Linked DNA regions of Sus scrofa. The protein of the gene in region 1 binds, or shares a complex with, the protein of each later gene. Links are inferred from orthologs where the notes say so. Each region holds a gene or a part of one and is shown on either strand. Other genes may lie near its edges. The genes, in order: MEP1A and FETUB.

Region 1 (4,475 bases):
AATACTAGTCAAGTTCGTTTCCACAGTACCACAATGGGAACTTCAGAACTTAGCAGAATTTACTTTCTCCCTGATGGTATTCCTTGATGCTGGTCTCAGACTGTTTCTGAAAATAAGATACTTAAGAAGGAAGCTCTGTGTGGGAAAACTATGGGCCTTTAAAAGAATGTCAGTTCTGATTACAACCCTCATGTTTGACAAGCAGCCTTCCTTGTAAAACACAAACTACTTGAGACAGGATCATCAGATTGTACCTCATTCTGAAAACAGCCCCTGATTTACAGCTGGGAAATCAAACTAAAGAACAATCACCACAACCTTACATGGAAGCAGTGGTCTCACTGGGCAAAGCCTATGGCTCATTCAAGATCTGGGTTCAGGCTCTGCAATGACACCATGGAGGTGGTAGAAGGCTTCCTGGCTTCACTTGCTAATGTCTAACTCAAGAGATTCCTGCATCACCCCTTTCCTCATACACATATTTCCTAGACTTTCTTAACCTAAGGACCATAGCCTATTCCTATAACAGCACAGTTAAATAACAACAAATAGCAATGACACTACTGCCCCAGAGGCAGCAGGACCCAGGTTTTGAATTGCCTTTTCAGTAGGGCTATGATGGGCTTGTCCTTCCATACTCTTACCTAGGCTTGGTGTGAGAGCAAAATTACACATTTCCTGACATTTGACCTGGCTTAGGAATGGGGGTGAGGGAAGGGCTCTTCCAGGGAGGATGTGAACAAGCTCAGTGGGACCTTGACCCCATGGGTCTGTCAGCAGGATGGGGTTACAAAGGAGAGAGTGCCATAGGAGAATTTCACAAAGTGCAAATCCATTAAAAGCAAGCCTCAGCTTATTCACTACCCAATTCATTCATGTAGCATTTACTTATTAGGTGGCTAATGTGTCCTAGGCATTGTTCTAGATGTTGAGGGCACAACAGAAAAGAAAATAAAGCCCTAGGGGAGATGACATTCTTGATTGGGGAAGGAGGGGATACAAACAAACAAATAAATGTCAAGTATGGCAGATGGTGAAAAATACAATTTAGGGGAAAAAAAAACATAAAACAGAGCAAAGGGGGTAAAGAGTGTTGAGCTGAAGGAAGGTTGATACTGGTAAAAGGTAGTCAGGGAAAACCTTCTTGAGGAGGTGGCTTTTAAGCAGAAATCTAGTGGAGTGGAGCATGAAGAGAGGCAACAGCAAATAGGAAGGTCCTGCTTTAGAGCAGCCCTAATATGGGAAATAATCTGATCTGTGTTCATTAGGCCCTCCAAGGGATTCTGATGCTAAAATTTGAGAAGTATTGGAGTTCCCCGTTGTGGTGCAGTGGTTAACGAATCCAACCAGGAACCATGAGGTTGCAGGTTTGATCTCCGACCTTGCTCAGTGGGTTAAGGATCTGGCATTGCCATGAGCTGTGGTGTAGGTTGCAGATGTGGCTCGGATCCCATGTTGCTGTGGCTCTGGCGTAGACCAGTGGCTATAGCTCCGAGTTTACCCCTAGCCTGGGAACCTCCATGTGCCGCAGGAGCTGGGAGCAGCACTAGAAAAGGCAAAAATAAATAAATAAATAAAGTTTGAGAAGTATTGCTTAAGGCATTAAGGCTTTCCTACCTGAGGACCATTAAAGTATAGCAGACCCTCTTATTTACACATACCTTGACAGCCTGACTCTAAAGAAAGATGATTTGATGTCTGGTTCTGAAATCTTGAGACCCATTTACCCTCTCAAACTATTTCTACTTGCCCCTCTAGTCATTCTCAAGGTTTGCCAACAAAATATCACCTAACTTGGTTTCTCTGTAAGTGGGATAAATCCAGAGAAATTTTACCTTAAGGTATGGGGCGTTTTAGTTTTATAGTCTTCAAATAGGACTGAGTTATGGAGCTATGGGTCAGAAGACCTGATGGTGAGCTCCATCACTGCCATCCGTGAACTTGGGTGACTTACCTTGACCCAGAGGAGCCTCCTGTTTCTTTCCTGCAAAGTGAAACCTGCACTCACCCCACTACAATATTTGACAAATAAATATGCAATTGAATATGAAGGTTTTTATGTTCTAGAAGATATTTATGATCACAAATCCAGAACCTCTATTTCCCACCAATCTTAACCAAAGATTCCCAGAATCTCAAGGTTTCTTCCTCACATTAGAAGCAGGACAAGAGAGGGCAAAGAGAGAGGATTACATGGCATCTTCTTCTCTCAGTGATGGGTGAGACTGACGGATGTCTTCATGGCATATGTGTGTGGTCAAGATGTTGAAACGGAGACACTTTACACTCTTTTCTGAGTCCTAGGCAAATAGTTGCTAGTTTGATGTTGTTCATATGATGGGCCAGGAGAGGGACTCTGGAGGGACAAGGGTTTTCTTCCCATTAAACCTAAGCAAAGATATATTCCTTATATTTTTCTTTAGCAAGAAAAATAATCATCCATTTTTGCCTTCTTTTTCTCAAATTGAAAACTGGAAAAATGAATGTCTTATAAGCGAAAATCTTATTCTATATTTCTAGATCCACTGAGCACTCACTAGTTCTAGAAATTTTGGTGTAATCATTTTTCTCTTTCCACATTTCCATTTTTTAGAAATTCTGCAAATTCCGATCATGGTTTTCCCCTAAAGTTACCCAATACTGTATCATGAACATAAGCGCTTTTTAGCAGTTCTATCATAGGGTTTTAAATTATTTAAAGGCATCAATAATGACAGAAATGGCACCCACCTAAGTTGATCTCTGTAATATCCTTCTGTTCATCAAAATCTCCATCATGTACTGTTAAAAGTGGGGGGGAAATTGTTATACGTATTGCTGAATGAAACAGAAAAAGCTCAGAAACACATTATGCATTTTACTTAATTCTTACCATTTCCTTTGGAAAGATGTTTAATCTGAAAGGAAATAAATATACAGAAAATGGATAATGTATACTAGAATTAGTGTTTCTAAGTAAGTTGAGAAGCAGAACTCTACTTACCGATACAGCAGCTATATGGGCAAAAAACAAGATGAAAGAGAGAATGCAAGGAGATCTTGTCCAAATCATTGCTGCAAGTGAACAGATTTTAGCAAAGACACCTTGTGATAAATACTTGGACTTTGCTCTGGCTGTCATATTAGAAACTTTGACCCTTACACATGTTCTGTAGCATTGAAGTCGTCAAAGAAAATGTCTTTGCCCCATTTGAGGGCAGATATTAATTTTAGCAGAAAAGCTCAAGTGCCAGAGACCAGGGAAAAGTCTGAAAAAGTTGATACTGATATGAGCATATAAAAATAAATAACATTTTTGTATACAAGCAATAACTTCATATAACAGATAAAATATCCATTGCACAATAGAAATAAAAATAATCTATAATTATTATGAAGTGCTTAACTCTAATAAAAATGAATGAATTGTACGTAAATGTTATAAGGTAATGATTGAAGAACCTTAGAAAGAGCTATCTAAACACACACGTATACACATATATTTATATATGAAATATTCATGAGTGGGAAGACTCAATATAATAGAGATGGTCATCATTTTATCTATAAATTCAATATTATTGCCATAAAATCTTTTTTTAAATTTTAATTGAAGGATAGTTAATTTACAATATCATAACATGTCATAGTGATTCAGTTATAGGTACACACACACACACACACACACACACACACACACACACATATAGACATATATTCTCTTTCAAATTCTTTTCCCTGGTAAGTTATTACAAAATATTTAAGTATAGTTCCCTGTGCTATGCAGTAGGTCCTTGCTGATTATCTACTTTTTGTCTTTTTTTTTTTTTTTTTTTTGTCTTTTTGCTATTTCTTGGGCCGCTCCTGCGGCATATGGAGGTTCCCAGGCTAGAGGTCCAATCGGAGCTGTAGCCACCGGCCTACGCCAGAGCCACAGCAACTCGGGATCTGAGCCGCGTCTGCAATCTACACCAAAGCTCACGGCAATGCCAGATCGTTAACCCACTGAGCAAGGGGAGGGACCGAACCCGCAACCTCATGGTTCCTAGTCGGATTCGTTAACCACTGCGCCACGATGGGAACTCCTATCTACTTTATATATAGTAGTGTGTATATGTTAATCTCAAACTCCTAATTTGTCCCTCCCTAATTTTTCCCCTTTGGTAACCATAAATTTGTTTTCTTATGTCTATGAGTCTGTTTTTATGAGTAAGTTCATTTGTATTTTTTTTTTTTTAGATTCCACATCTAAGTGATATCATATGATATTTGTCTTTCTCATCCTGACTTACTTCACTTAGTATGATAATCTCTGGGTCCAACCATGTTGCAAATGTCATTATTTCATTCTTTTTTATGGCTAATATTCCATTGTGTGTGTGTGTGTGTGTGTATTTATCTCACATCTTCTTTATCCATTCATCTGTCAATAGACATAACCTTGCTTCCAGCCAGATGTGCTTTTATCTTTCCCTTCCTTCTTAGACTTACCTGCA
Region 2 (4,346 bases), on another chromosome or scaffold:
AATGAACAAGAAGTAAGGATGGGAGAAATGCTACATACTATAGCATAGTATACTTAAATGCTCATTTTCCATTTATTATTAAAATGAACAAAATCAGAGTGATCTCTTACCTGGGCGAAGAATACAGTTATAAGCAGGTAAATAGTGAATTCTTCTTGCCTTATTGATGTAAAATATTGCTTTGCATTGACCATATTCCTGGAATCAACAAATACATTTTACGACATGGTAAAATGAATTATGGCTTTAAAAAATACCCCAGATGAAATTGGATATTTCATTTTTAAGTAATGAGAAACCTAAGGTCAATTTTGGTGGTTTAGGGTGGGGAAACCTGCCAGCTGATCATCAAAGAGTTCAACCTTCTCTTGGGCTGCAGCTACACTACTTCCCTGCCTCCTTCCTACTTAGATAGGACTGTGTGTAACTGAGTTCTAACCACAGTGAGGTGAGCAGAACGGATGGGTAACCACTTCTAAGCCTAGCCCATAAGGCTCTCCCATGTGCTCTCTGTCCTCCAGGCTCTTTCCCTTTCTGTAGGTTGATGTAGATGAGCATGGTGACCACAGAACCATGAGTTGAGGGCAGCAGAGTCCAAGGCCACAGCATGGAGGGAACCTGGGTTGACAAATCACTCGTGGAGGAGAGCCCCTCACTGATGAGGAGTTTCTATATTTTTTTCTGGTCTTTTTAGGGCCACACCCCTGGCATATGGAGGTTCCCAGGCTAGGGGTCCAATCAGAGCTGCAGCTGCCCGCCACATCCACAGCCACAGCAAAGCCAGATCTGAGCTGCACCTGTGACCTACACCACAGTTCATGGGAATGCCGGAGCCTTAACCCACTGAGCGAACCCAGGGATTGAACCTTTGTCTTCATGGATGCTAATCAGATTCGTTTCTGCTGAGCCATGACAGGAACTCCAGCTTTCTATTTGAACTTTGCATAAATGGGAAAATCAACTTCTATCATGTTGCGATCAGTATACACTTTTTAGTGTATATGTTATAGCAGTTAGTGTCTCCTTAAACATAATTCCCAGGGTAAATAGATGATTTGCTTTTCAAAACCAGGTAGGTGAGTTTGACACATTTGGTTAAGTGATTAGAGAAAGATATCTTGGTCAAAGAGTTCATTTCTAAAGACGTATACCACAATCCTGTATACACAAAGTTTCATATCCATTAATAAAAATAATCTCAGGATAATTGAGAACCAGATGAAAACTGTGTTCTTTTCAAGCGTCTTCTCTGGTCATCAATTTTGACTCATTTTAGGTGCTGTGATTCCAGAAAGTCCTTTATCCATGGTACCTCTAAGAGCTCTCATACCATAGCTTTCCCTCTCTCCAGCCTCAAATCTTGTATCAGTGTCAATTAAAACAAAATAAAGCAAAATAAAACAAATTTCAGAGTTGCCCCTCCACTGCTTCTACAGTTTTCCTTGGATACACATCCAGAGAGCTACACCTCAGACATCTTCTTTTTTTTCTCCCGCAACTTAAACATTGGCTCAGAGCCTATAGGAGGGTCCTACAAGAGGTGGGAAACAACTTGGGGACAACTTTCCTTTCTTTTCTTATTTCTTTCTTTCTTTTTTTAAAAAAATTATTATAGTTGATTTACAATGTTCTGTCAATTTCTGCTGCACAGCAAAGTGACTCAATTATACACATACATATACATTCTTTTTTTCACATTATCCTCCATCATGTTCCATCGCAAGTGATTAGATACAGTTCCCTGTGCTATACAGCAGGACCTCATTGCTTGTTCATTCTAAAGGCAGTGGTTTGCATCTGGGGGCAATTTCTCATGACCCAGACACCAGAAATTGAACTCTCAGAAATCCCTCTGATGAAACTCTATTTTGTCTATAGAATTGGAATAACTACATAGGCACCCTCCTCAAGAGATTATAAAGTGGGACATTTAAAGATGGTACATGCTGAACAATCTTCATTCTGAAGACAGAGGTCACCTAGTTTTCCTGCTCAAGCACCTGGACACAAGCACTTACCGATTCATGGAATGGCGTCAGCCCACAGTCCTTCCATGACATCTTACTGAGCACATGGCAGCTAGACTCTATCACGTCCAGCGTGAGATAGAACAGAGATCCCAGGTCACCCTGTAGGAAGGTGAGGAGAAAATGCACAACCTACATGAAGCAGAAACCCCTAAAGCCTGGCCCCCCAAATCCCTGTTTTATGGCAAAGCTAAACAAAGGCTATAATGTTTGTGAAGATTTCTATCTTTCTTCCTTTTTTTCTTTTTTTCTTTTTTTTGGTTGTTCCTATTGCATGCAGAAGTTCCTGGGCCAGGGATTGAACCCGCGCCACAGCAGTGACAGCGACAGATCTTTAACCACTAGGCAACCAGGGAACTCTGTGAAAATAGAAACGGTGGGACACAGTACGTTTCAGAGTAGATTAGTACTTGTTCCTAATAGCATTAAGAACATGTAGCACTCTAGCAGAGGAGCTTGGTGTGTACTCAGCAGGTTTTCCGATTTGAAAGGTACCTGCCAACATGTGTCTCTGGGTTCCTGTCCCCTTGGCAGCCTCCCTGGCTTGTGCAAACACCTGCCCTGGAGGGGACTGCCACTTGCCTGTCTGTGTTCGCGGACATCGCTCACTCGGTTGGGGCTCAGCACGTAGCCGTCCTTCTGGTTCCTGTTGATCTCCTGCAGGACGAGGTTCACAACATCCAGCACATAAGAGCTGTTGCAGGCATGGGAGAGGAGAAGCGAGGATGTAGGGGGCAGCGGCTGGGGTGGAGATGTAGCCCCGCAGCCCACGGCCAGGGCGCAGAGCACCAGCGGGAGGAGCAGACCCATCCTGTGGGGAGTGAGGCCAGGCAGGGGTCAGTATGAGGAGCCACAAGGACAGCTACTTACAGGGCTCTGCAAGAGCAATTTAAGCAGCCTTGTAATTGCAACCTGAACCAGGGATCAGGATTTGAAACACAGGGCCCTATTTTATCTGCTTGAATTCTAAATGTAGATTTCCCTGAGTCAGGACTTAGGATAGGATTTGCCAATATATCTAACCTTGGACCCCGGAGCAATCTGATACTCATGGTTACCTGTAAACAGATTTAAGTTTCCTAATCTTTTCCTAGGAAAGCAAAATAAACTCTTAGGTCAAGGTTCCTGGGAGGTCACGATTGAATTCTTGCTTGTGTGCAGGGCTCAAGCCGGTTCAGAAGATGACGACTGTCACGTTCTCCCTTGGGCACTAGAATCTCGCCTCCAGCCCATGTCCTGGCTACACTTCTCTTCATCTCAGACTCGGAGCCCAAAGTCATGGTACCAATGGTGCTCAGTGAGTTCTGACCTCCCGCCCGACCTCCTGGGTTCACCATTCTTGTTAGATCAGGAAAAAGGCTTCAACCCCACATCATCTACATGAAGCCTCAGTGAGATTCCTAAAGCACTCTGGGATCTGGCTGGAAAGAGTTCCATTTAGCATACAGAGGGCCAGCAGTCACATGAAAAGATGCTCAACATTGCTAATTATTAGAGAAATGCACGTCAATGCTATATTGAAGTATTACCTCCCACTGGTCAGAACAGCCATCATCTAAAAGTCTACAAATAACCAATGCTGGAGAGGGTGTGGAGGGAATCCTCTTACACTCTTGGTGAGAATGTAAATTGGTGCGGCCTCTATGGAAAATAGCATGGAAGGTCCTTAAAAAACTAAAAATTGACTTGCCATATGATCCAGCAATCCTACTCCTGGGCATATATCTGGAGAAAACTCTAATTTGAAAAGATACATGTATCCAATGTTCACTGAAGCACTATTTACAACAGCCAAGATATGGAAGCACCTAAATGTCCATAGACAAATGAATGGATAAAAAAGATATATAATCTATATATTCTATTCTACACACACACACACACACACACACACACACACACACACACACTGGACTATCACTCAGCCATAAAAAAGAATGAAATATTGTCATTCGCAGCAACATAGATAGACCTAGAGATTATTATACTAAGTGAAGTAAATCGGAAAAAGACAAACATCATATGATATCACTTATGTGTGTAATCTAAAATGTGGCACAAACTTATTTATGAATTAGAAATAGACTCATAGACATAGAAAGCAAACTTATGGTTACCAAATGGGAAAGGGAGCAGAGAGGGATAAGTTAGGAGTTTGGGATTAGCAGATACAAACTACTATATATAAACTAGATACCAACAAAGTCCTACTGTATAGCACAGAGAACTATATTCAATATTCTGTAATAACTCTGTAATGGAAGAGAATCTGAAAATGACTATGCATATATAAGTGTAACTGAATTACATTGCTGTATA

The links.
Region 2: the proteins of MEP1A (region 1) and FETUB are in contact, whole or in part, in a cryo-EM structure (PDB 7UAI), measured with the Homo sapiens proteins. The link is inferred for Sus scrofa from reciprocal best matches to the Homo sapiens genes MEP1A and FETUB. Residues at the interface, in NP_005579.2 of Homo sapiens: Asp126, Gly127, Cys128, Trp129, Ser130, Glu131, Val132, Gln145, Gly146, Cys147, Tyr149, Ile152, His155, Glu156, His159, Tyr164, His165, Gln167, Ser168, Leu184, Gly186, Tyr187, His189, Asn190, Asp192, Tyr194, Tyr214, Gln215, Phe217, Ser218; in NP_001362516.1 of Homo sapiens: Phe109, Phe110, Lys144, Lys145, Tyr148, Met149, Thr150, Cys151, Pro152, Asp153, Cys154, Pro155, Ser156, Ser157, Ile158, Ser196, Ser197, Gln198, Trp199, Val200, Val201, Gly202, Tyr205, Phe206, Thr242, His245, Trp246, Phe249, Val250, Ser251.

Annotation. Positions count from the first base shown.
Region 1 is NC_010449.5:41,586,338-41,590,812, reverse strand, and holds the start of MEP1A (meprin A subunit alpha), read right to left. Parts: upstream 3,115-4,475; 5' UTR 3,053-3,114; coding exon 2,984-3,052; intron 2,898-2,983; coding exon 2,873-2,897; intron 2,782-2,872; coding exon 2,731-2,781; intron 2,357-2,730; exon of another isoform or gene 2,201-2,356; coding exon of another isoform or gene 2,194-2,200; intron 1-2,193.
Region 2 is NC_010455.5:124,479,129-124,483,474, reverse strand, and holds the start of FETUB (fetuin-B), read right to left. Parts: upstream 3,020-4,346; 5' UTR 2,838-3,019; coding exon 2,610-2,837; intron 2,130-2,609; coding exon 2,019-2,129; intron 199-2,018; coding exon 111-198; intron 1-110. UniProt on the Homo sapiens protein: Protease inhibitor required for egg fertilization.